3 linked regions of the Caenorhabditis elegans genome follow. The protein of the gene in region 1 purifies or fractionates together with the protein of each later gene. This does not show direct contact. Each region holds a gene or a part of one and is shown in the gene's direction. Other genes may lie near its edges.

The links.
Region 2: the proteins of F33E2.5 (region 1) and C09D4.2 fractionate together in Caenorhabditis elegans (co-fractionation; one large-scale study listed by BioGRID). This does not show direct contact.
Region 3: the proteins of F33E2.5 (region 1) and eelo-2 fractionate together in Caenorhabditis elegans (co-fractionation; one large-scale study listed by BioGRID). This does not show direct contact.

Annotation. Positions count from the first base shown.
Region 1 is NC_003279.8:12,588,886-12,595,251, reverse strand, and holds F33E2.5 (YqaJ domain-containing protein), read left to right. Parts: upstream 1-2,900; 5' UTR 2,901-2,903; coding exon 2,904-3,657; intron 3,658-3,944; coding exon 3,945-4,066; 3' UTR 4,067-4,136; downstream 4,137-6,366. Other genes in the region: F33E2.6 (DUF3707 domain-containing protein), read right to left, coding at 4,161-5,126, 5,346-5,924, 6,124-6,366.
Region 2 is NC_003279.8:5,488,597-5,495,631, forward strand, and holds C09D4.2 (DUF4773 domain-containing protein), read left to right. Parts: upstream 1-2,827; 5' UTR 2,828-2,903; coding exon 2,904-3,171; intron 3,172-3,587; coding exon 3,588-3,692; intron 3,693-3,862; coding exon 3,863-3,967; intron 3,968-4,021; coding exon 4,022-4,111; intron 4,112-4,344; coding exon 4,345-4,427; intron 4,428-4,474; coding exon 4,475-4,588; 3' UTR 4,589-4,667; downstream 4,668-7,035. Other genes in the region: C09D4.3 (Protein kinase domain-containing protein), read left to right, coding at 1-46, 100-356, 660-774, 853-1,464, 1,601-1,757, 1,806-1,813.
Region 3 is NC_003282.8:17,247,728-17,257,332, forward strand, and holds eelo-2 (Peptidase M3A/M3B catalytic domain-containing protein), read left to right. Parts: upstream 1-2,403; 5' UTR 2,404-2,405; coding exon 2,406-2,474; intron 2,475-2,529; coding exon 2,530-2,624; intron 2,625-2,672; coding exon 2,673-2,772; intron 2,773-2,820; coding exon 2,821-2,899; intron 2,900-2,948; coding exon 2,949-3,100; intron 3,101-3,160; coding exon 3,161-3,298; intron 3,299-3,539; coding exon 3,540-3,634; intron 3,635-3,681; coding exon 3,682-3,786; intron 3,787-4,143; coding exon 4,144-4,326; intron 4,327-4,375; coding exon 4,376-4,477; intron 4,478-4,497; exon of another isoform or gene 4,498-4,624; intron 4,625-4,692; coding exon 4,693-4,836; intron 4,837-5,112; coding exon 5,113-5,363; intron 5,364-5,771; coding exon 5,772-5,890; intron 5,891-5,939; coding exon 5,940-6,110; intron 6,111-6,156; coding exon 6,157-6,444; intron 6,445-6,543; coding exon 6,544-6,675; intron 6,676-6,930; coding exon 6,931-7,026; 3' UTR 7,027-7,237; downstream 7,238-9,605. Other genes in the region: mfsd-8.1 (Major facilitator superfamily (MFS) profile domain-containing protein), read left to right, coding at 250-352, 451-591, 942-1,048, 1,189-1,435, 1,674-1,845; gtf-2E1 (HTH TFE/IIEalpha-type domain-containing protein), read left to right, coding at 7,576-7,641, 7,696-7,752, 7,805-7,903, 7,957-8,105, 8,150-8,228, 8,280-8,389, 8,669-8,956, 9,005-9,106 and 1 more.

The DNA of each region.
Region 1 (6,366 bases):
TTTGCAAGGCTTCTCTAGAACACAATTCAAGGCTGATTTTCCAGTTTGATCTGGAAAAGTACCGTTGCAGATTTTTAACTGCTCGAGTAGCAAGAGACAGAAGTCGTCTGTCTTCTGACTTTTTGTCTTATCACCCGCCACTGATTGCTCATCGGCGTCTCTATCAGGCACAAATGAGTCCAGAGAGCACAAAAAAGATATGTGTTAAAGTCAAGATTTTGAAAATGCACCTCCGCACTGCAATTATGTAGATTAAAAATATTTTTCTTTTAGCGGCTGAAAGTGGGATCTTGGTAAGGTTGTGCTTTGGTGTATGGATCTTTTAGACTCCCCAAAAAAGTTTTAAACTTTCGCGATTTGAAAATGAATATCCAGATAAATTTATTGCCATCGGTGTGCCTTACGTGTTTCCATTTGGTTTTTTCAGGCATCTTGGATTTTGTGACATTCTTTTTCAAGTAGAATTCAAGCTCAAACAGCCTATAAAATTGACATCACGAATGGGTCAAAACTACCCGCTCAAAGTATCTGAAAAACTGAAAAACCCCTCACACTCTTCCTTACCTCCTTGTCCAAACTTCCGAACACAAAAAGAAAACAAGCTGCCTGACGAAGTATACTGATCACGATTTTGAACGGGGTATCAAGCTCGCTGATCAATCTACCTCAGCAGGTAACGTTTCTCGGAATATGTATAGCTGGAGTATCTAGAATGAGACAGAGAATGAGCTTTCTGTCTGAAGTGGAATTATGTGCGGTGAAGAGACGAATCTCCGCCCCGTGTACTTTTTGAGGGCTAAAAGGATTTCAGCGCCAATGGCTAGGGCAGGAGAGTGCTCGAAAATAATTTCTTTTATTTTTCAAGGTAGTTTGGTATAAACTGAAAAAATTGAGAAGATTCCGAGCTAACTGATAACTTAAGCCTCATATATTCAATTTCAGATGTGAATTTATTTTCCACTTACAGAATTTTCACTTTTGTACCATGTATTGTGATTAGGGTGAGATTGGGCGAAAGTCTGATAACTCAAAAACTAGAGAGATAGCAAAAAATTGTCAATTAATAAATTGTTTATCTTAAAATTTTACACATTTTATTAGATGACAACTTTTTTCTAGGTGTCCCCCAGTTTGAGATACATGGGATTGAATTTAGAGGACAGCACCGCAAGATACTGGTGGATTAAAACCGTTGAAATGTTTTTTCTGCAACAAGACACTTCCCAATAAACATTCATTCGTATTTTCTTTGACTCAAGTTCAAAACACAACGGATTAGTGCTCGATCACCTCCTCCGCTCGATGCACTTTTATAGTTCACCCCGCCAAAATCTATGGCATTTTATAGAGATGTTTTAATACAAATTGTTGGTTTCTTTTGTCTGGAATCTGATTGATGTTTGAGTATGACTAAACCACCAAAATCTGGGTTCAAGATAATTAATTATCTATAAAATAAAAATATTTGGCTAGAAAAAATTGAGCAAAGCAAGTCAGAAGCTGAGTCACCGTAGACGACCTCAGATTATGTCACAGTGGAAGAATTGTGGCATCTTTGTGGCGGCAGAGATCACAGTACCAAGGTTTTTGAAGTTTGATCTGTGGAAGTTCTGGACAATCTAGAACCAGTTTTGCTGTACCTCAAACTTTGTCCGGTTCTAACTCCGAAATTTGTTACGATGCTCCCTCCATCTATCAGATGTTCATCCACCTTTGGCTCAGTTTGCTGTAATTAAAATGCCCTATAACCAACACCTCTCGCGCATTCATTATCTATGTGGTGCCTGATTAATTGCAAAGAGCAGGTGTTCTGGATTTGGACTCTCTTGAGAATCTAAAAGCCGATCTCATCGAGGAGATTTTATGTGCTCATCCGCTAATAGCCTCCAGGAGGGACTTTCTCATTCTTGACTGAAATTTTCAGCACCTTAAACGTTTGGGCTGAAATTTGGACTCTCCTGTAAAGCTCAAATTTCACCGAAAATCTGGAAAACTCGGCCCGTGTAATCTACACCAAACTGTAAAAAATTTCCTATTCCTCGAGGAGATAGAGCGAGAGACAGAGAGACAGAGACATGCGGCAAATCTCTGTTTAATCATGGGTTGGTGAGACAGGACAATGATGGTCCTCTGGCCTCCCCCCACTCCCTCTATCTTGATCTCTCGATACGTGCTCTCTCTCTCGCTGTCTCCGTGGAGAGGTAGGTCACCCCGGACACATCTGCCACCCTACCAACCGACCCCTCCGGGTGTCTCATTTGGTTCATCGATTCCTCTTTTTTTGTTGCTGCTGTCGTGATTTTGTGATTATCTAGTTTTTACAGAGATTACATTTTTGAAATTACTGTAGTTTGTAGTTTCTTGCATAATTTTTATAATTTGTCTGCCTGGCTTTCATGCAGAAATGGAACAACTTCCAAAAAAATTGATTTTATTATTTTCTCCTGCAAAGGTATACCTAAACTTTTTTATGGATTCTGTAGTATTTGTAGTTTGTAGTTTTTGCAGTAACTTTATGTTTTGCACTATCACTTCTTATCTCATTGTGAAACCTTGGAATTTTTGGATAAGTGTGCAAAGTACAAAGATGTTTCAGTTCAGCAGTTTTGTAACACAAACTTTATTTCTTGATTCTTGTTAACAACGTTTATTGCTAGAAAGTTCTGTACAATTTTTCAGTTGGTATTTTTGCAGGCCGTAGTTTGTAGTTTGTGGTTATTGTAGTTTGTAGTTATTGTAGTTTGTAGTTATACCAACTCCCAAAAAACATTTGAAACTTTTGAAATCTTTTCTCCAAGCTTTCATAATTTTATTCAGTTTCAGACTGTACATAGTTTTATTTCTTGGTTTTTATTTTTTTGATCCTTCGTAGTTATTTTCTCAAACAACTTTACTTCCAGGAAATGTCAAAACTGACGGCAGCCTACAACAAAACCCGCGAGTGCGTGGTCACTCGCTCTAAAATCATGATGGGCTACCCGGAAGCTCGCTACCCAACCATCCCGAAGATCCTCAAGAAGACGGCGGACTTCCAGAAGCTTGAAGGTTCTAAGGATCGAATTGCGTTCACCCTCTCCCAGGAACCAATTGCCGATAAGAAATGCACCGAAATGATCAAAAATGTTCTTCTAGAACAATTCCAAGACACCGATATCCCCGCCAACTACATCGCCGTGTCAATGGCTTTGCCAAACTTCAAGATCGGCCAAAACTGTCATGACTTCCAGCCTCTGGACTGGTACAAGAACATCAAGGGGTACTTCACATATAAAAAGATCACCGAACAAGTCCAAGCCGCCTACTTCAACGATGAAGCGGGGAATCAGTTCCTCGCCGGCGTCTGCTACTACGCGACTCCCGCCGGCAAGTGGGTCGCCAAACTTCAAACCGAGCAAACTCTACTGCGATTTGAGTTCCAGAAAGCCGAACCGTTCCCCTTGAACAGTAAAAGTCGTTTCGACACGAAGGCGTTCAAGAAATTCGCGAGATACGGGAGATATTGTGAGACGGAAGGCTGTCGAGTTTTAGTTTGGGTAGGAAAAGCCGATGGTCAGATTGTGCATCTGAACTATCATCCTGTGTACTGCATGCAATGGACTAAAGGATGTGCTGAGTGCGCCAAGGATCACTTTGAGTACATGTGGATTGCTCCAGAAGGTATGTTGAACAGAATTACGGTCGTTAAAAATTTGGTTAATGGCAGTATCAGCTTTGGTGGCTTGTTGAGCTACAAAATATGTGTTCTTTGTTTCTCTTTAGTTCTGTGATTAATATACAATTACCAAATTGCTCTAACATATCTTGATTTCCAACGGGTAAAGACTTCTAATTTGTATTTCTATCTTGTTTGGCAATAAAAAATTTTTTAAATCATCTTTAAAATAATCTGAGATATGAGCTCCCGAGCACTTTGAGGAGTCTAGTAAGATGTTCATTTTTTGCAGAGCCCGTTGTACAAAAGAGCAAGGAAGAAGATTATATCTTAAAAGCTCCCGAGGACAAGGATCTCAGCGATTTCGACCAACTAAGTGACGTTCTCAACGTGGATGCGATCTCATTGCACTGACTTCTGTATTTCTTGTACTTTTGCGTTCTCATTAAATGGGCTTTATTGAAAATGAATATACATATTTATTAAATTGTTGAAAATTAGAAAGACGTCAAATTGGACCTCTGTAGTCTGTAGGCCAGACTGTAATTTTAGTCTTTGGAGTTACAGTCTTTGATTGATCAGTCCTTAGTTGTTCAGTCCTTAGTTGTTCAGTCCTTGGAGTTATAGTCATTGGTGCTTCAGTCGTCGGTGCTTCAGTCCCAGGAGGTACAGTCATTGGTGGCCCAGTCCGCGGAGGAACCGTCTTTGGCACTTCTGTCCTTGGAGTTATTCTCTTTTCAGTCGTAGTCTTTGGTGGTTCAGTCTTTGAAGTTACAGTGCTTGAAAGTCCAGTCTCTGGAGTTACAGTCATTGGTACTTCAGTCCTGGAAGGTCCAGTCATTGGTACTTCAGTCCTTGGAGCTTCAGTCTTTGGAGGTACAGTCTCTGGTGGTAAAGTCATTGATACTTCAGTTCTTGGTGGCGCCGTCCTTGGTTGTTCAGTCTTTGGTGGTTCAGTCATTGGTACTTCAGTCCTGGAAGGTCCAGTCATTGGTACTTCAGTCATTGGAGCTTCGGTCTTTGGCGGCACAGTCCTTGGAGCTTCGGTCTTTGGTGGTTCAGTCCGTGGTGGTACAGTCATTGGTACTTCAGTCCTTGGAGCTTCAGTATTTGGAGGTACAGTCTCTGGTGGTAAAGTCATTGATACTTCAGTTCTCGGTGGCGCCGTCCTTGGTGGTTCAGTCTTTGGTGGTTCAGTCATTGGCACTTCAGTTCTTGGAGCTTCAGTCATTGGCGGTTCAGTCCGTGGTGGTACAGTCATTGGAGCTTCGGTCTTTGGCCGCACAGTTCTTGGAGCTTCGGTCTTTGGTGGTTCAGTTCGTGGTGGTTCAGTCCTTGGAGCTTCAGTCCTCGGAGGTATAGTCCTTGGAGGTTCAGTCCTTGGTGGCTCAGTCCTTGTAGTTACAGTCTCTGGTGCTTCAGTTCTTGTCCAGACGTTATTACATTGGTATTTTTCCATGGCTTCAGACAGTTTCTTAAATGTTTTTCAAAGGTGAAGTAGCCCCCTTAATTTTTGGGAGCTCTTTCCGGCATCCCTTTTTTTCGGAAACTGTAGCACCAAAATTAAATCGGATCGACTTGATTTGGGGCTAAAATGTGCCACAAAAAAGATGCAGGCAAGGGCTTCAAAAGTTGGCGGGCCGCAAAAGACTACAATACGTGCACCAAGCTTAAATCTCCAGTGACCACAAACCTTTAGAAAACGTGAAAAAGACAATTTGTCACAATTACACTGGATGTCTTTCTTGAACACACTGAATACAGCTGACTCATTATTATAAGTTAGTGCGGCCACAGTACAAAAGTCCAATACTTCAGTGAAGTTTTTCGGGGGCGCCCGATTACCGAACCAGGCCATAACCAGAGTGTCGCCCAGTTTTGCGTAGCATTTGTCTTCAATCAATGGCATCGTGTTATTCACTCGTGGTGGGGGTGGGGATGGTGCAAATAATCTTGATTGTTGCTGCCAACAATAAGGTATATTTGGTGGTTCAGTCGTTGGTGGTTCTGTCTTTGGTGGTGTCGTCTTTGGTGGTTCGGTCTTTGGAGGTTCAGTCGGTGGTGGTTCGGTCTTTGGTGGTTCAGTCCGTGGTGGTTCAATCTTTGGTGGTTCAGTCGTTGGTGGTTCTGTCTTCGGAGGTTCAGTCCGTGGTGGATCTGTCTTTGGAGGTACAGTTGTTGTTGTTACAGTGGTTGTTGTTGGTTTGGTGGTTGCCGCTTCGGTAGCCCCGTCGTTATCGCATGGGTATTTTTTGATGGCTTCTTCGAATTTCTGAAAAAAATAATGCCGGTGAGGGTTTCATTTTCCATACTATGAAAACATTTTACGCTCGAAATTACCAAAACTTTGATATGAAAATTTTTAAAATTCTAGGCATACGACTTTGGTGATTCTGAACTATGTATTATGCAACAAGTGCTTTTAGACTAAGAACCTACTCAAGCTTCTTCCTTTAAACAAAAAAACAAACCTCTAAGAAAAATTCAAGGGACGAGATCCCACAAACACACTCGATGTCGCTTTGGTAAGTTTCCATTGCTGGACCATTTAGAGTTACATCGACCAGAAGACAAAATTCCGAATATTCGTAAACTGATTTTGGAGGCTCGCGATTGCCAAACCTGTCCATAACACTTGTGCCGCCCATTTTTTCATAACATTGGTCATCAAGCATTGGAATCGCGTCCGTCTCTCGTGGTGGTGATACGGATGA
Region 2 (7,035 bases), 7.1 Mb from region 1:
CATGGTTCAAATTCCCAACACTCCAACATTGGTTGCCGAGGAAAATGTACGATCAAGCTTCCGATCTCTCTTCATCTTTAGAATATCAAATCATTTCAGTTGAACCACAAACGCTCTAAAGCAAATCTCGTGGTGGCTCAAGAGTCTGTCGCAATGGAGCACATCGCTGCTCATCAGCTTCCAGCTCCCGAGCCACGTCATCGTGGACCGGCGATTAAGGATAAGCCGGAGAGAAAGGATCGTCTTCCGACGGTTGGAGAATATTTTGAAAATGATAAAGGAGATCGTTTCATTTTGCGTCAGAAGCTGGGCGATGGTGCAATGGGACATGTTTTTCTGAGCATTTTTGGTGGCAGGTTTGTAGCTTATTTGGTTTTTTGCTCTTTCCAAATCGCGGCAACTTTAAAAGAAGTGCGTCACGCGAACTATTCCACGCAAAATTTATGTGGTTTTCTGAAAACTACCACATCGTACCATGGGTTCATAATGCCCTTTGAGGCATTATGCGTACATCTCAAATAAATGTCCTATTACTTTTCCAGAATTGTAGATCATTTTCTAGTTTACTCACTTCATTAAATTTCAGAACAAACCAATAATAAACTTTCTGAAAATTAGCTCCTCTGAATTGAATCTCTATGAAAAATGAACTATTTCAGAAGTGTTGCAATCAAAGCCGAAAAGTATTCAACAGGGATGCTTCCAATGGAAATTAAGGTTTTGTTGAGTATCAGACGCCACAATGGAGTTCATTTCTGTGATATCATTGATTATGTAAGTTATATCATAGACTATGAATTCATGGATTTTGGATTTTGGATTACAAAATCAAAAAAACGTATCAAACTTTAGGGAACCATCCGTCGTGAATACAACTACATGATAATCAGTATTCTTGGAAAAGATCTCTACCGTCTTCGTGCCGAACAACCGACTCGTTCATTCACTCTCAATACGACTACAAAGATTGCTCTTGAAACTATTGAAGCTATTGAAGAGCTTCACAATATTGGATACCTGAGCCGTGATGTCAAGCCAAGCAACTTTGCTCCAGGACAACGCGACAATGGACAGCATAAGACAATTTTCATGTTTGACTTTGGACTTGCGAAGAAGTTTATTGATCGTGATAACAAGAAGCTGAAGTCTCGTGGAGAGGTTGGATGGAGAGGTACTGTAAGATATGGAAGTCTCCAAGCACACAAACGTATGGATCTTGGAAGACGTGATGATGTTGAATGCTGGTTCTACATGCTCATTGAGATGTTGGTTGGAGAGTTGCCATGGCGTCATATGTCTGATCGTACACTTGTTGGACAATCGAAGCTCTCAATTCGAAATGAATCTCGTCGTTTGTTCTTCAATCGAACTCCAAGACAGTTTGAGACGATCATGGATATGATCGATGGATACTCATTCGAAATCAGACCAGAGTACAGACATTTGAAGGCATTGATTAATGAGGTAACTAAAATTAGTCTAGATGGATATTTTTAGTTAGATCCAAGCACTTTACTAATCACCTTTCTAATAAATTAGATAGTACCTAACGTTCCATATTCCTTACAATTAAACAATAATATGTTCTTTACTTTTCCAGATTCGTATGGAAAATATGATTCCTGATCGTTGCAAGTGGGACTGGCAAGTGGAAGAATCTCAACATTCGGAGCTCACCGAAACAGCTTCTGTCATGTCTGATATGGCAATTATGGCTGAACAAGGAGCTACTAACTACACTGATCGTGCCTGTGAGAGTATGTTTTATTGTTTTTATTTTCTATATCAAAATATACATTTTTCAGACCAATAGGCATATACTCGTCTCACAACTGTTCTTCATCACTACTCTTCTCATCAAATCTCGAATCGAATCGAGCACTTTCCAGTTCAATTTCCTCTTTCTCTCACTCTTTTCCAATCCAAAGTAAAGAACCGATTGCCTCTTTTTGTATTCATTATCATCATCGTCGTCGTTTGGTTTCAACTATACTACTAGATTTTTGTGCTGTGTAAATAAATGTATTTTTTTAAAAGTATTTTACATCTTATTGTAAGTTCCAACTATCACGGCGTTAGTTTCTTTCCCAAGTTTGGCAAATTGAATATTAACTTGGATTAGAAGTGGTTAAACCTGAGCCAAACTTTGGCAAAACATAGTCTCCTGGAATCTTCTAGAAGTGATATGTTGACGGAAAGTTGGATCAAACTTTGATTACACTTGAGTGAAGCGTGAACCAAGTTTTCCAACTTTCAATCTGAATTAATATTCTTTAAAATTGTGGTAGAGGAATCCGGCCTTGAAGGCAAGAATATAGCATGTCACTTTTCCAACTTTTTTCTTATTTTCTCAATTATTGAAATTTTAAAATGAAATTATAGTTATAGATGTAATTTGATATGCTTAATCCAATTATTATACTGATTTTTTGGTTAACAAGTTTGAAAATGTCTGGAAATCCCAGAATGAATGGATATCTCATAGCAGATTGGCACTGTACTCTTCTGAACAAATTGAATTTGTACCGAAGTTTCTTTTCTGATATTTTTTTTCGAGTAAAACAGGGGCAAAAATTAAGTTTTTCCAAACTTTTCAAGGATTTTAAAGCACTGCTGGATATTTCGATTGCGTGGATCTTAATAATTTTACAACATGTCGTACTCCACCTTTCAGCATTGGAAACCTATTTATTCAAGGAAATTAATAAACAAATTATTGTAATTTATGTTTACCGCATCAATCTTTACCATCGATTCAAGCTCATCATTCTAGCCAGTTGTCAAAAAAAACATATCCGCAGATGTTATCTTTGATTTATTTATTGGGAGAACATCTGGTTGTGTAACAGAGTCAACTGACCTTCTCCCTTTTCATTCGTCCAAATCTTCATTTCTTTTCCAAAATGCACCTCTTTCTTTCTGTTTTTCTTCTGCTTATCCTACCGTTAATTTCCACCTCAGCAGTTGAGAATAATCAAAATATTGTGGATTTTTCTGTGAAAGATTTCAACAAAAATATTAATTCAATCGATATTCTCAACAAAAAATGGGATATTGTTTCGAAATATGTGAAATTTAATGGAAACTCATCGAAATTGAATGGAAGACTCCGATTATCGGAAAAAATTGACAAAATCATTTTTAAATTGGGAGACGATGGAGCTAATCAGAGTAAGTTTTTTGAAATTTAAAAGTGGATTAGCGCCCTATGGTATGACTCCTATGATTCTAAAATGATAAATTTTCACAGTAAAACTTTGCGAAACTGGTTTGATATTTTTAATAACATTTAAAAATGGTATTGATTCAGTTCTCAACTGTTATAATTTTGGAATATTCGAATGTTCCAAAAAATTTATCTGAAAAAGTTCTGAAATCAAAAAAAAATTCTTCTACCAAATAGGCAAAATGTTTTCTACGACTTTTATATTTTAATCAAGTTAAGAAATATTTTTTGTTAAGAAAAATAGTGCAAGAACGTTCAAAATTTCCGAAAAAAAAACCGAGTTTATCGAAAATTTGGCAATTTGCCAAACTCTTACTGACTAGCAGCAATCCTCTTGTTTTCTAAAAATTTTAATTTTCAGATGAAATAATAGTTTCCTTGGGTAATAGAAATACAACTCATATGACTGTGCACACGGATTCATACAAAATGAAAGTATCCACTTCGAAGCAAGTTGTTCGGAAAGGTCTGTTGAAAAGGTTTTGAAAATTGTATTCTGTTTTACGTTGTTAACAAAGACAATTGCTCAAGCAGCCTCAAGCCAGCAAGCCAAAACAAAACTTTAAAAAACTGAAATTCGGAATGAGAAAAAAAAAATACATAAAGGCTAATTAAAATTGTAATAAACCTTTCCAGAACTGTCTCTGAGAACTGGTTCATCAAACGAGAACGGATGTGCTTGTGTACACGGAAATTGTGCTTGCTGCCTAGAAATTTCTGTTCCAGAATTCAGACATTCAGGTAATAGTTTTCCTTAAATTTTGTTTTCTTAATTTTCCAATACTTTTAATTCAGTTTGTGTCAATGCAACCTATAACCCAGTTTCCATTGGCTTGGATTTGTCGATTGGAGTTGATGGACATTATTTCAGTGAAGAAATATCTTGTATGTAAAGAACTTTAAGATGGAATACGCGGTCAAATGGGTTCCATATGAATATGTTTAAATAATTCTCAAATTCAGATATCCCACAAAAGGAATTCAGAAAAAGCGAGTTGAAACTACTAATCCAACTTTCAAACTCGCGAATTTCTAACTCTGCTAATTTTTTGCTATTTAAATATAAATTTCACAGAACTTTTGTTTCACATAAAAAAACAATTGTTAATAATTTTCAGTGAGAAACCCCCCACCAGTCTGTTTTTCTCTTCCGATTCCCGGCGCAGAGCACATTGCAGGAGTATGTGTGGCATTCACAAAGGTAAAATTGTTTCTGGTAACACGAAAATTCCAATTTTATTTATTCAGTTGGACTTGGACAAGAAGGAGAAAATTCTTTCCGGATGCATGGATTTCGAAGTGGAATTAATTCATTTAAGAGTTCTTACTTTCAAGCTTGGATGTTTTAGAATGCCAATCTGAAATTAAACAAATATGTTATGTTGTAACAGTTTGGTGCAAACTGTTATGTCAAATCAAACAGAAAAAGTTATGTTTTTTGGTTTTGCTCTTTGCTTGATTTTCAGAGACGAAGCTTCTCGTTCGTCTGCATTCGCTTATTTCATCGCCCATCTACACTCCCAATAGTGGTTTTTCATTTCTTCTACTGGAGATGATTCTGATAGACTTTATTTTGAGATGATCAAGTTTTGGGTGACAATGTACTCAACGGGAACAATATATCCAGAGTGACACAGGATTCAGTAGATAAACTGGGGTGATATTATTTTATTTGCCACGTTTGCGACGGATATTGACAAGATGAAAAATGTGTGAAATTTTTTTAAAACTTTTATTTTAAAAAAAGACTGTAGCAAAAGGGATATTGAGGAAATTGAGACCTTGAAGAGGATGTATGATCACATGTCGGTACTTGTAAAGCATGGTGACGACTGTCCAGAATCTGATGGGAAGGTTTGTGTGAATTGGATTTTCATAGTTAAAAACAACATTTCATATCTTTTCCGATGCTTTCAAAGCAGTTCTATCGGCAACAAAGATTGACGATCTCTATCCAAACTGCATGTATGACTCCATCCTCTGGAAATTATTCGCTGGGAAGTTAGCTTGTTCGCTGTTGGGTTGTGCTGAGGATTTGCGTGTCATCATTGGTCATCAGGATTTATGAAAACTATTGTATTTTATTGTAAAATTATTTTCTTTTTCTTCGATAAATATTAATTTTCAATCATTGTTTGTTTTCATATTACTTAGACGCGGAATTCTGAAATTTTTGCCTCAAAAAAAAAGATACCCGGTCTCGACACAACAATTTCCTGTAAAATACAAACGGATCTGAGCCTCTGAAGTTGATTTTTTTCTTCTTTTTTTTTGCCACCTAGCGAAACTTAATTGAAGCATATACTAATATATGAGTCATAACTTACTACAGGGTGACAATTAATTATAGCAACACAGTTCTCTTTTGTACAGACTACGGTAGTTAGATGTGTTCTGTGCCCTGTCGTAAAGAAATGTTCTTGTTCCACTCCTCCATAACCCTTGTGATTTGCTCTTTGCAATCAATCTTATTCCACTTTCATTGATGATATCTATTTTCTCTCTTTTGATATTTTCTTGCCAATCTTTTTGTCCATGAGATTTCTTTTTTCATTCATTCAAAAAATAATTTGAACAGCTGTCTCAAAGGTCCGTTTTCTTCCCCAAATGTTGTTTCAATATCACACCTCAAAGAGGCCAATTAAAATTTGTTGCTCTCATTCTCTTTCCGAATTTTCCCCTCTCATCTCGCAGTTTTTTGTTATTTTGTGGTTTTTTTTCGGTAGATTCATTTAGCTTTCTTTTACTGCAATTGTGAAAATAAAGGAACCAAGTTACAACTTCATCTATTTTGAGTTAGGTATCTAAGTGCGCCTGAAATGGCGCCAAGAAGATAAGAATCTTTTTTTGTGTAGAAAAACAGTGTTTGCAGTGGGTAAACCTATCAAAATCAGAAAATAATCAATTTTATCGAGCTTATTACGGAAATTTCTACAGTAATTATAGCACCCAACCAAGTTATCATAAAAAGTGGTAGAAATGAGGCATTCTAACGAACTTTTCGCAGAAGAAGAACAAAATATTTACGAACAGGAAGTTACAAAAGACTTTTGATACCTGTAGCTACGCTGAAATTTTTGTTTTGGCTGCAAGGTTTTCGTCCGAAACTGCGGAATTGCATATTCAACAAAAACTAACTAAAACGGGGTTTTTTTAATATTTTTCTTTTATATGTAACGTCAATAATCTTCTTCAAATTTCGCTCCAAAAACTTTACTTAAAAGTTTTTCGTATTCGATAAAATTACTGGAAGCCGGGATTTTGAATTTCAGAAAATCTGGCACGTGGAAAAAAAATACTTGGAAAATGGTTTTCAAAAAGTCGGAAAATAATCAGAATTTGTAGAATGAAAAAGTGTTAGTGAAGGCTCGGAATATATTATGCTAGATTTCCTCATTATGTTCCATACCTTTGAAATAGAATCTCATAAAAAATCCACGTGACAAATGCGAGAGAAGGTATCAAATTCCACGAGGTGTTCATTCTCCTTTCCTTCCGGTTTCATGTTTTATGACTCATTTTATGACACCCACACTATGTGGATTTCATGACGACACGAAACTTTGCAATTTGATATTTTTGTCTACTTCTAGACTTTTTTCTTCCCAAGACTAAAAATCATATTTTACTGTAATTGTCGAAAAGATCTGGAACATATTGGAATGGAAAACAAACAAGAAACCGTGGCAAATAGGAAATCATTTTTGAAAATCATGTGTCACATTAATTTTTACGATTCATGTATTCAATTCTTCAATTTTGGAGAATGGAATTTTCAGGCAAATGCTTCGTTCCTTTTTCTGACATTT
Region 3 (9,605 bases), on another chromosome or scaffold:
TATTATGTTATTACGGGAACAATAAATCATGATAATGCGTACTTGGAGCATTTTATTTGACGCGCGATATCTCTTAGCGAAAACTACAGTATGAACTCAAATAACTATTGCTATTTGAGTTCTTACTGTAGTTTTCGCTAAGAGATATCGCGCGTCAAATAAAATGCTCCAAGTACGCATTATCATATTGTTCCCGTAATAACTATACGTTTATTAAAAAAAAGATAATTTTTCATTTTTTTTTTTCAGGCAATGCGGACTATGTTGTGGTGCCGAAATTCGATTTAGTTCCGGCATTAGTTTGTATTTATTTGTACATGATTGTTAGTATGATTGCTACAAATATTGAAGTGTAAGTTTTTTTTTCGAATTTTTCCCCTGTTTCAAAACTAAAATTTCTTTTAAAACATCTAAGCGTTCCACTTATCTTTAATCAAAAAAAAATTTCAGAATGTCTACTCCATTGACAACTGTTCTCTACGATTGGAAAGATTCTCAAGCGATTTTGTACAACGGGATTATAGAATCAATTACCTGTATTGTGTCGGTTTTGATTAATTTTGGAATTGGAAAAACTAGAATTGGAAAGATGTGAGTTCTTTTTTTTCTAGAATACTTGTGATTTTTCAAATTAAATAGACACGGGGAATTATGTTCTAAAAAAATTTCAATTTTTTCACTGTTTCACTGACCAGCTTTCAGCTTGGACAGCATTTCGTGTTCACTGATCTTTACGGGCTTACGAAGTTTTCTAAAAAAAAATATTGTGAATTATTGCTGTGACAGGCGCTCAGCGTGTTAAAATTTTTTTTCAGCAAATTTTCAAATTTACAAACAAATAGAAAATCTAACAGTTTCACATCCCCTATTTCAGTTGGAAGATTTTTTTTCGATTAATTGTTAACTGCTTTTTGTCTCATATTGTTATAACATATTTTCAGTGACAAAAGAATTCAAATTCTATTCGGATTGGGTGTATTCGTCGCATTCCACGTGGTCAACTATCCATGGTGGTTCTACTCGGGACCTCTGCACTTTTTGCCGCCAGGTAAGGGTCTCGCCGCGAATTGATTTTCAAAGTTTTCTCAGAAGTATGATTTATTTGAATATATGGAATCTAGAATATGTTCCACAGTGACTGTTCTGGAAAATGTGAAACATTTTAGTTTTAAATTATACTGATTCTAGGTTCCAACACAACTATTGTCGGTGGATGCCTTGATTCATATTCATGGTGCAACACGACAACTCGTGTCCCTATGGCTCTCTACATTTTTGCATTTGTCTTCTTTTTCGGAATCGCTTTCCCATTTGTCGAGTCACCGGCCGCCGCACTTTATTCAGAGATTTTGGGTCCACGGAAGCAGGGAACCATGCAGGGATTGTTCAGTTTTGGTGGAAGTATCACGCCATTTGTTGCTTCGATTATTATCACGTAAGTGTTAATTGACTTTAAACTAATTATTTAAAATAGTCTGAATTTGAGTTTGGATGCATGAGTATTTAGAAGGATTAGTATCGAGAAAGAGTTTAAATTTTATTTGTTAAAAACTTGAAACAGAAAAAAAAATTATCACAAAAACCTTTTTTCACGAAAACGGATTTTTCTTCTAGTACTGTTCAATTTGATATTCTCCATCCTCAAAGAGTAAAATTAAAAAAAAAAATTTCAGATTCCTATTCCAACATTCCGGCTACAAATACGTCATCATCCTACAGTCAACCACAATTTTCATTGCATTCATTCTGATGGGTGTATTCTACAAAAGACTTGTTCCATTGAAATTAAGACCAAAGTCTGGAAAGTCTGCAGAGTATAAAAATGGAGTTTATTATTATATGTAAACTCTATTTTCATGAAAACACGGAATCAAGATTCTAACATACATAACCAAGTTTTAATTCATTTTTACACATTTTCAATTGTTTTTTTAGATGTACCACAAGATCTCACTATTCGAATTTTCATATGTTTAGTCGTTTTTTTTTTCTTTAAATTTAAATAAACTCATAAGTATTTCATATTCCTTTGTTCAATTTTTTCGAAAAATAAGCGCTGATTGGTTCGAAAATGGGTGGGGAACTCTATACGTGTGTAGAGTTTTTCTCAGAAACTCGATTCAAACTGCCTCCAAAATCCAATTGTGCGTCAACTCTCGCGATGTGCGCCAGCAGCTGTCTGCGTCAATGGAGCGCGCTTGCATTTTCTGCGTTCATCGCGATTTTTTTCTGCGTTCAGTACTCATTTTCTGCGTTCAGTACTGAACCACCGTGCATCGTTTCTATTTTATTTTTCTCCGCATTAATCAAGTTTTCACCATGTTTGGACAATTTTATTCAGGAGAATTCTCGAGAATTTATTAAAAAACAAAAAATAAGAAATTTTAAATAGATAATTTGCAGGAATGTTCCGTAGGATACCCCTCGGGAGGTTTCTGACGCGAAAAATCCATAATCAAACCAATGGGCTGATTGTTAGTCATTTTCCACTGATTAAAAATAGCTTAAAACTGATTTTTCCACACACAGGTTCCAACAACAAATGTTCAAAAGCAACAAAAACGACAGATTCTGTTCAAAATGGGGAATGAGACGCCGGCGCGAGTGGTTGGATATTATGTTGTGTGAGTTTTTTTCGAAAAAGTGATAAAAATTTACATTTTAATTTTCAGATTTCCCGTAATTCCCGAGGAAACCGTGGAGAACAACTGCTTCATGTACAATATCGCTAAAAATGAAGATTGGCCGAAATTGGCCACCGCCGAGCCCAGGGTAGCTAATTTTTCTGGATAAAACTTTAAATTATTGGTTTTTCTTCAGGAACTGTATGAAGGAACCGTTCGAATGCTCATGGACTACGGAGCCACTGTAATGGAGCACATGGAGCATCTTGCAACGTGTAAGATCTGTGAAATCTGAGAAAAAACCAATTTCAAATGTATTTTCAGTACCAGCAGAAGAGCGAAAGTTTGAAAACGTCGTAGAACCATTGCTTACGGAGGAATACGAGGTCAATTTCGCTTTCCAGACACTTGTGCTGAAAATGCTCACGGATTGGCCTGATTGTAACCGAAAACTCTTCGATGCGGACCTTCACCATGTAAAATAACAGAAAATTTCATGAAATTAAGTGGAAAACCTAAATTTTTTTAAATTTTAGATCAAAATCATGTGTGCCCGCGATCAAATGGAGAAGTTAACCAACAAGGACTTCCAGGACGCCATCAAGCAGCTTTATGAGGCAAAAGATGGACTTTCCGAGTGGCAATCGAGACTATTGGAGTGGTATTTGCTCGAGGTGCCATTTTAAATATTTTCTAACGAGAATATGCCTGAAATTGACTGGAAAAAGTGTTTTTCACCGATTTTGAAATTAAAAAATTTGATTTCTGCTCAGAAATCATAGAGACTGTAGTTTGCTAAATAGAAAGCATCGATTTTAACTCAGCAAAAGGATATTCCGTCTAACTTTCCCAGGAAAATTGTAATTTTTCAGCTAAGTTCGCGGATTTTCTGGCTGAAATAAGATCAATTTGCAGATAAAAGCTTCTGGATTGGACAAACACGACGATAAAACGCGTAAGGTTCTCGGATCCTGGAGCAAATTTGTCGACGAGTACAGGAGCAAGTATATGTGAGTTTTAAATGGAAGTTTTCAGCTTTTAAGCGGCTTTTTTTCAGCACCGGCGTGATGTCAACCAACGATCAGCAGACATTTGTCGTGACGGACCAAAAAGTGATAAAAGATGCACCTCCACATGTTTTACAGAAGCTCGCTGTTGATGAGTAGGTTTTTTTAGTAGCAATTGGCGAAATTTTTTTAGTAGCAATTGGCGAAATTTTGTTGAGAATTCGTTGAAAAGTGGTATTTTTAAGCTAAAAATCGAAAATAAGCTCCAAATTTTCACAATTTTTATGCTTTTCACTAGAAAAAAATTGAAAATTATCAGAAAATCGTGAGAATTATTATCAAAAAGTACTAGACGAAATTGTAATTTTTTCTGCAAAAAAAAGTGAAAAGGTAAGAACTTTCTGTAAAATTTTTCAATTTTCTCTAACCATTAAAAATGCTCAATTCTCCAATTTCACTCAAATATTCCCACTTTAAACTAAATACTAATTCAGACTAATTTCTTTTTTCAGACAAAACTGGGAATCAGGACCATGGCGTGGACGTATGACACCTCACACAATCTACCCATTTATGCAATATTGTGGAGATCGTCAATTGAGAGCCACCGCATGGGAGAAATGGACGAGTAAAGCTGGATTTGATCATGATTTCTACAATAATTCAATCAATATCGAGGAGTTGAGACATAATAAGTAGGAATCCGATAAGGAAAAATAATTGAAAAATGGCTGAATTTTTCAGCGAAGGACTCGCCAAAACGCTTGGATATTCATCTGTTGCTGAGCACCGACTTGCGAATAAAATGGCTGCCTCGCCGGAGACAGTTAGAGGATTTATCAATGCGTGAGTTTTAGAAAAAATACTGAAAAATTGTTTTTTTAACGCTGAAAATTTCCATAAATGTGAAGATTTTATTTTAAATTCAGCTTTTGACATTTTACCAAAAAATAGCCGGAAAAAAATTTAAAAAGAACCCAAATCTAACAGTTTTTGACAAAAAATTTTTATTTATACCGAAAAGCATGATATTCCAAATTAAATCAACTTTTTTCTTGCAGTCTTCAACGTAGAATCCGGCCTGTAGTGATTGATCGTATGGAGTCCTGGTCCGCATGGGCTGGACGTTGTGAGCTTATCACTGGCGAGCTTCAGGCCTATGATATGCCATATGTGTGCAGAAAAGAGGCAGAGCATCATTATGAGTAGGTTTTTTTTTTGAAAAAGTATTGCCTGCCGGCCTACGCCTGCCTTTCAAAGGGGAAGTCGTAAAATTTGCAATTTTTTGGTATTTTTAGAGGTATTCGGATGATTTGAAGCTTTTTTTTTCTAAACTTCTAAGTGTTACGAATTATCGGAAATTCAAAAAAAAAGGTTTTCAGATTTTTTTTTCAGTTGAAAAGCTCAAACTTTTCATTTTTTCGGTAATTTTAGAGGTATTCAGAACATTTTTAAAAAAATTTTTAACTAATTTTTTTCAGTGTCAACCCACTGGACCTAATGAATCACTTCCCATTCTGGCCAACATTCCAAAATATAATGGGAGTCATCGGACATATTTTCAATTTGGAATTCAAAGATATCACCGATAAGGGACTCGAAAAAGCGCATGCTGACGTCCGGATCTACTCGGTTGGCGACAAGTTCAGCGGACAACACTATGGAAGATTATACATTGATCCATATGATCGACAGAATAAACGAGGAGGATGGAATGTTATGCTTGCGAGACGTAGGTTTTGAAGAATGCTGAAAATTTGGAGAGCTCGAGAAAAAATTTGGAAAATCACCTGAATTTGTATCGAGTTTTTTAGAAAAAAATTAGAATTTAGACATTTCCTGTCGGAAAATTCAGTTTCGATTTTGTTTGAAAACTGAAAATTTTTGATTTTTGTATTTTTGGAACACTTCATTTTTTCCATCGAAAAAAATATGAAAAGACAGAAAAAGCGAGGGAATTTTAAAAATTGTCTTTTTAGAATAAAAATTAGAGGAAAAAATTCTCCTCGTTTCAGACTATCTGGCTTTTTTTTCAAATTATTTTTGCAAAAAAATTCTTTCGAAAAACGTTAATAGAATAAATTCTGTTCAAAAATAACTGCAAAAAACAACACAGGTTAGTTAACAAATATATTTCCAGCGGAATCCAAAGAACGAGGTCTCGACAAGATTGTGTACTTCATCGGCTCAGCAATTGCTCCAACTTCCAACGGACCGTCTCTTCTCCATCACCAGCAGCTTCAGCAACTTCTTTTCCATGTCAGTAGTCGAAATTTTGGGTTTGAATTTAAATTTTCGAAATTTCCAGTTTGGCCGAAGTGTGCAGCTTCTTCTATCACAATCTCCATACCGTGATATTTCAATTCCATGGTCTCCATTCTACGCATCTGACTGGGATGCAGCTGACATGTTCCCAACATTCTTGCAAATGTTCGTCACGAAGCCCAATCTCCTTGCAACAATTAGCTCTCCGCATCAGGTATTTTTAGTCGAAAATTCTTGAAATGTCTGAATTTCTGTTTCAGATCACAAAGCAATCGTTGACCGAAGAGCACGCAAACTCGGTGGCTCTTACGATCTCACGAGCATCACTCTGGGAAACCTACCGTACCCTCTTCTGGTCGGACTTTGATCTGTCGATTTACGAGATGGAGGACAGGAAGCAAAAGTTCTGGCTGGATATGTACAAACAAATGTATGAGGAGTATTTCCCGTTCAAAAGAGCCAAAAATGACTATCAACCGTGCTCATTCACACCGATTTTTGCTCTTCAACCACATATGAGCATGTATTATAGGAAGCTGTGGGCTGAGGTGAGGTGGTTTTCCAGTGTTAGAAAATCATCAGAATTTTGATAAATACTTTTAAAAAAAATTATCTCAATTATTTCTGAAAATTGGCTCAATTTCCAGATGCTCGCCTTAGATATCCATGAGACATTTGACGAGGAAGACAATGAAGTGCAAACGGGAGAACGATTGAAAACGACAATATTGAATAGAGGAAGTGGAGATGTTGCGAAGGAATTGTTCAAAAGATTCCAGGTAGGGGAATCTTCTTTTTTTGACTGAAAAATTGGTGAAAAACGGCATTAAAATAAGCTGAAAATCTTAAATTCTGCATGGAAAAATCTCAAAAAATCGTATTTTTTTAAAATTAGAACGCTTTAATTGAACTCTATTTTTACAAGAAGAATTCTAAAAGAGTTCCAAACAATTACTTTCATTTTTTAAATTCCAGAAAAATGAAGCCATTATTTAATTTTTTTTAAAGAAAAATATTCATTTCCATTTTTTCAGGGCCGAAATCCATCAGTCGGAGCCATCTGTGATCACTACGCCCCACCAATGGCCATTCAAGATGAAATGGAAATGTCGGAGAATCAGAGACGATGAAAATTCCCCCCCGGTTTTTGGAGATTTTCCATCTCTTTTTCGCTTCTCACCGGGTTTTCACATATGTTTAGATGATTTTTTTTCTGTTTTTGTTATATTTTTTTGATAGTCTTAAGAAGAAATAGGGTCTCATAGATTGTTCTCTGTTATTTAATGTTTTTCCCCTCATTTTTAATTTTTGTTTTACTTCAGTAATGAATTCTTTTCTTTTTGAAAATTTATCGTTTTTTGAGATATCGTTTTCCAACGATTGAAATATTTTTGTTTTGAAATTGAAAAAAATGTTTATGTTTTTTATTTAACAGGAAAAAAATTGAATTTGTTTTTGAAAATTACCTTTTCCAGGACATTGTGTTATTTTTTTAAAACCAATTTTTGAAATTTTTACTTTTTTTTGGAAATTAAAAAAAAAACGATTATTCCATTTTTTTTTTGGATATTTTTGAGCTGAATTATTTTTAATTTAAATTTTGCTCACTTTTTTGAACAAAAATTATAATTTATTGATCAAAAATTAAAATTTATTCCAAAAACTAAATTTTTCCAGGCATGTCATCTGGCCCAGCGACCTCCGGCTCATCATCGGCTCACACCGAGACCCAAGTGGTGGATGAGGTAACATTTCCGCGAAAAAACCCACTAAATCTGACTAAAAACCGTCTTTTTCAGATTCCGGAGGCACTCAACACTATATTGCTGATGGTGGTAAAGAACTTCTTCTCAAGTGTAAGCGAAAAATCTGATTTTTCAAAAAATTCTTGAATTTTTAATTTTCCAGGAGCACTTTATCATCGTCTACCACATAATGCGAGCCCAGTGCATTCGCGAGGAAAATCTCAAAGCCCGAATACAATTCGATCAGAAAATGCTCAGACAGGTGTGCTGAAACTTGCTTGAAATTCGAAAATTCAAAAAATTTGACAATTTCAGCTCCTCGCGTCTCTGAAAGCTGAAAAACTCGTGAAAGAGCGCACGATTACGCAGAAAAACGAGAATAATCGAACGGTTTCCATCATTTTCTACTATATAAACTATCGGGCTGTGCTCAACGTGGTGCGCTACAAAATCGATCACATGAGGTGTGAAAATATAATTTTTTCACTGAAAGTTTAAAATTTTCCAGACAAAAACTCGAGTCCCGAGAGCAAATGGACACAAATCGAGCTCACTATCGATGTGGAGCGTGTCAGAGTTCTTATGATGTGAGAAAATTCTTTTAAAATAGAAGAATTCTCTGAAAAAATCATATTTAGATGCTGGAAATCAATCGGATATTGGACGCTGAAAGCGGGCGGCTTATTTGCTGGCGGTGCCACGGAGATGTGTTGGCGGATGAGACGGTAGTACCATCGAGGACGACGAGGTACTTGGAATATCCTGAAAATCTGAAAATTCGGAAATTTCTGGGTTCTGAAGCGAAAATTATTATGAATTCTGATCGAGCTCAAAGCGACGAATTGAAAAATTTTCAAATTGACAGATTTTTGAATTTGTTAAATTAAATCTACAGTACTCTAAAATTTTTTGCAATTTTGAGCTCCAAAAAATTGATGAAATTTTACTGTTTAGGGTCTCCTTTCAAAAAAAAACTTCGGGTTACTGTATCTGCATATATATTTTTTTTTATTTTTTAAATTTCCAGAACCGCTGTGGCACGCTTCAACGAACAAATGACACCGCTCTTCTCTCATATTTGTGCTCTAAACGGTATCCAATTGGCTCCGCATCTCCTTGAACCGGATATCACGAAATATTTGGAAGATGACAAAGAACTGCAACTACAGCAACAACAAATGGACTTTACGTCGGGTGGAGGTGGTGGTGGACGGATACAGTTGGGAGGAGTCGCTCATTCTTATCAAAATATCGCTTCGATCAATTATCAGAATGGAGATGCAGTTTTTGTGGATTTAAATGCGGATATTAATAAGTTAGTGGCCATAAGTAGAAAAATAAACTTTGATTCTTAATATTTCAGGGGTCCTGTGGAAGAAGCCAAAATTATGCCAGAATGGCTCAAGGATAATGCAATAGGCGGTGGTGAAGCTTCACACAATGAGCATGTACTGGATCAGGCCAAGTACTTTTAAATGGCTTAACTTTTATATTTCAACAATGAAACCTTTTTTCAGAACCGAGGAAGAAGAAACATCAACGAAACAGCGACGTTATGGACCATCTCTGGACTATCTGAAGGAGATTGAGTGCAGTTCGGAGGAATCTGCTCCAAATGTCAAAATTGAAGAGCCACCTGCCAAGCAAATAAAGATGGAAGTCGACGAGGAAGCTATCAAAATGGAAGTTGACAACGACGAAAGTGAGGAGGAAGACTTGATCCACGTGGCGGGGCGAGCACTTCCGCTGAGCCAAATCACACCTCGAATGGTCGAGAACGAGATGAGTGAGCTGGAGAAGGAGAGCTATTGCAGTGTTGTGCAGGATCTTTTTGCAATGTTCTTTTCTCAACAAATTGCTATTCATTAAGTCTCGGTTTTTTGAGATATTACCGCCAAAATTTAGTGATGTCTAGGATGGTATAGAGGATTGTTTACTCTCCAATTCTCCTAATACCGTCAAAA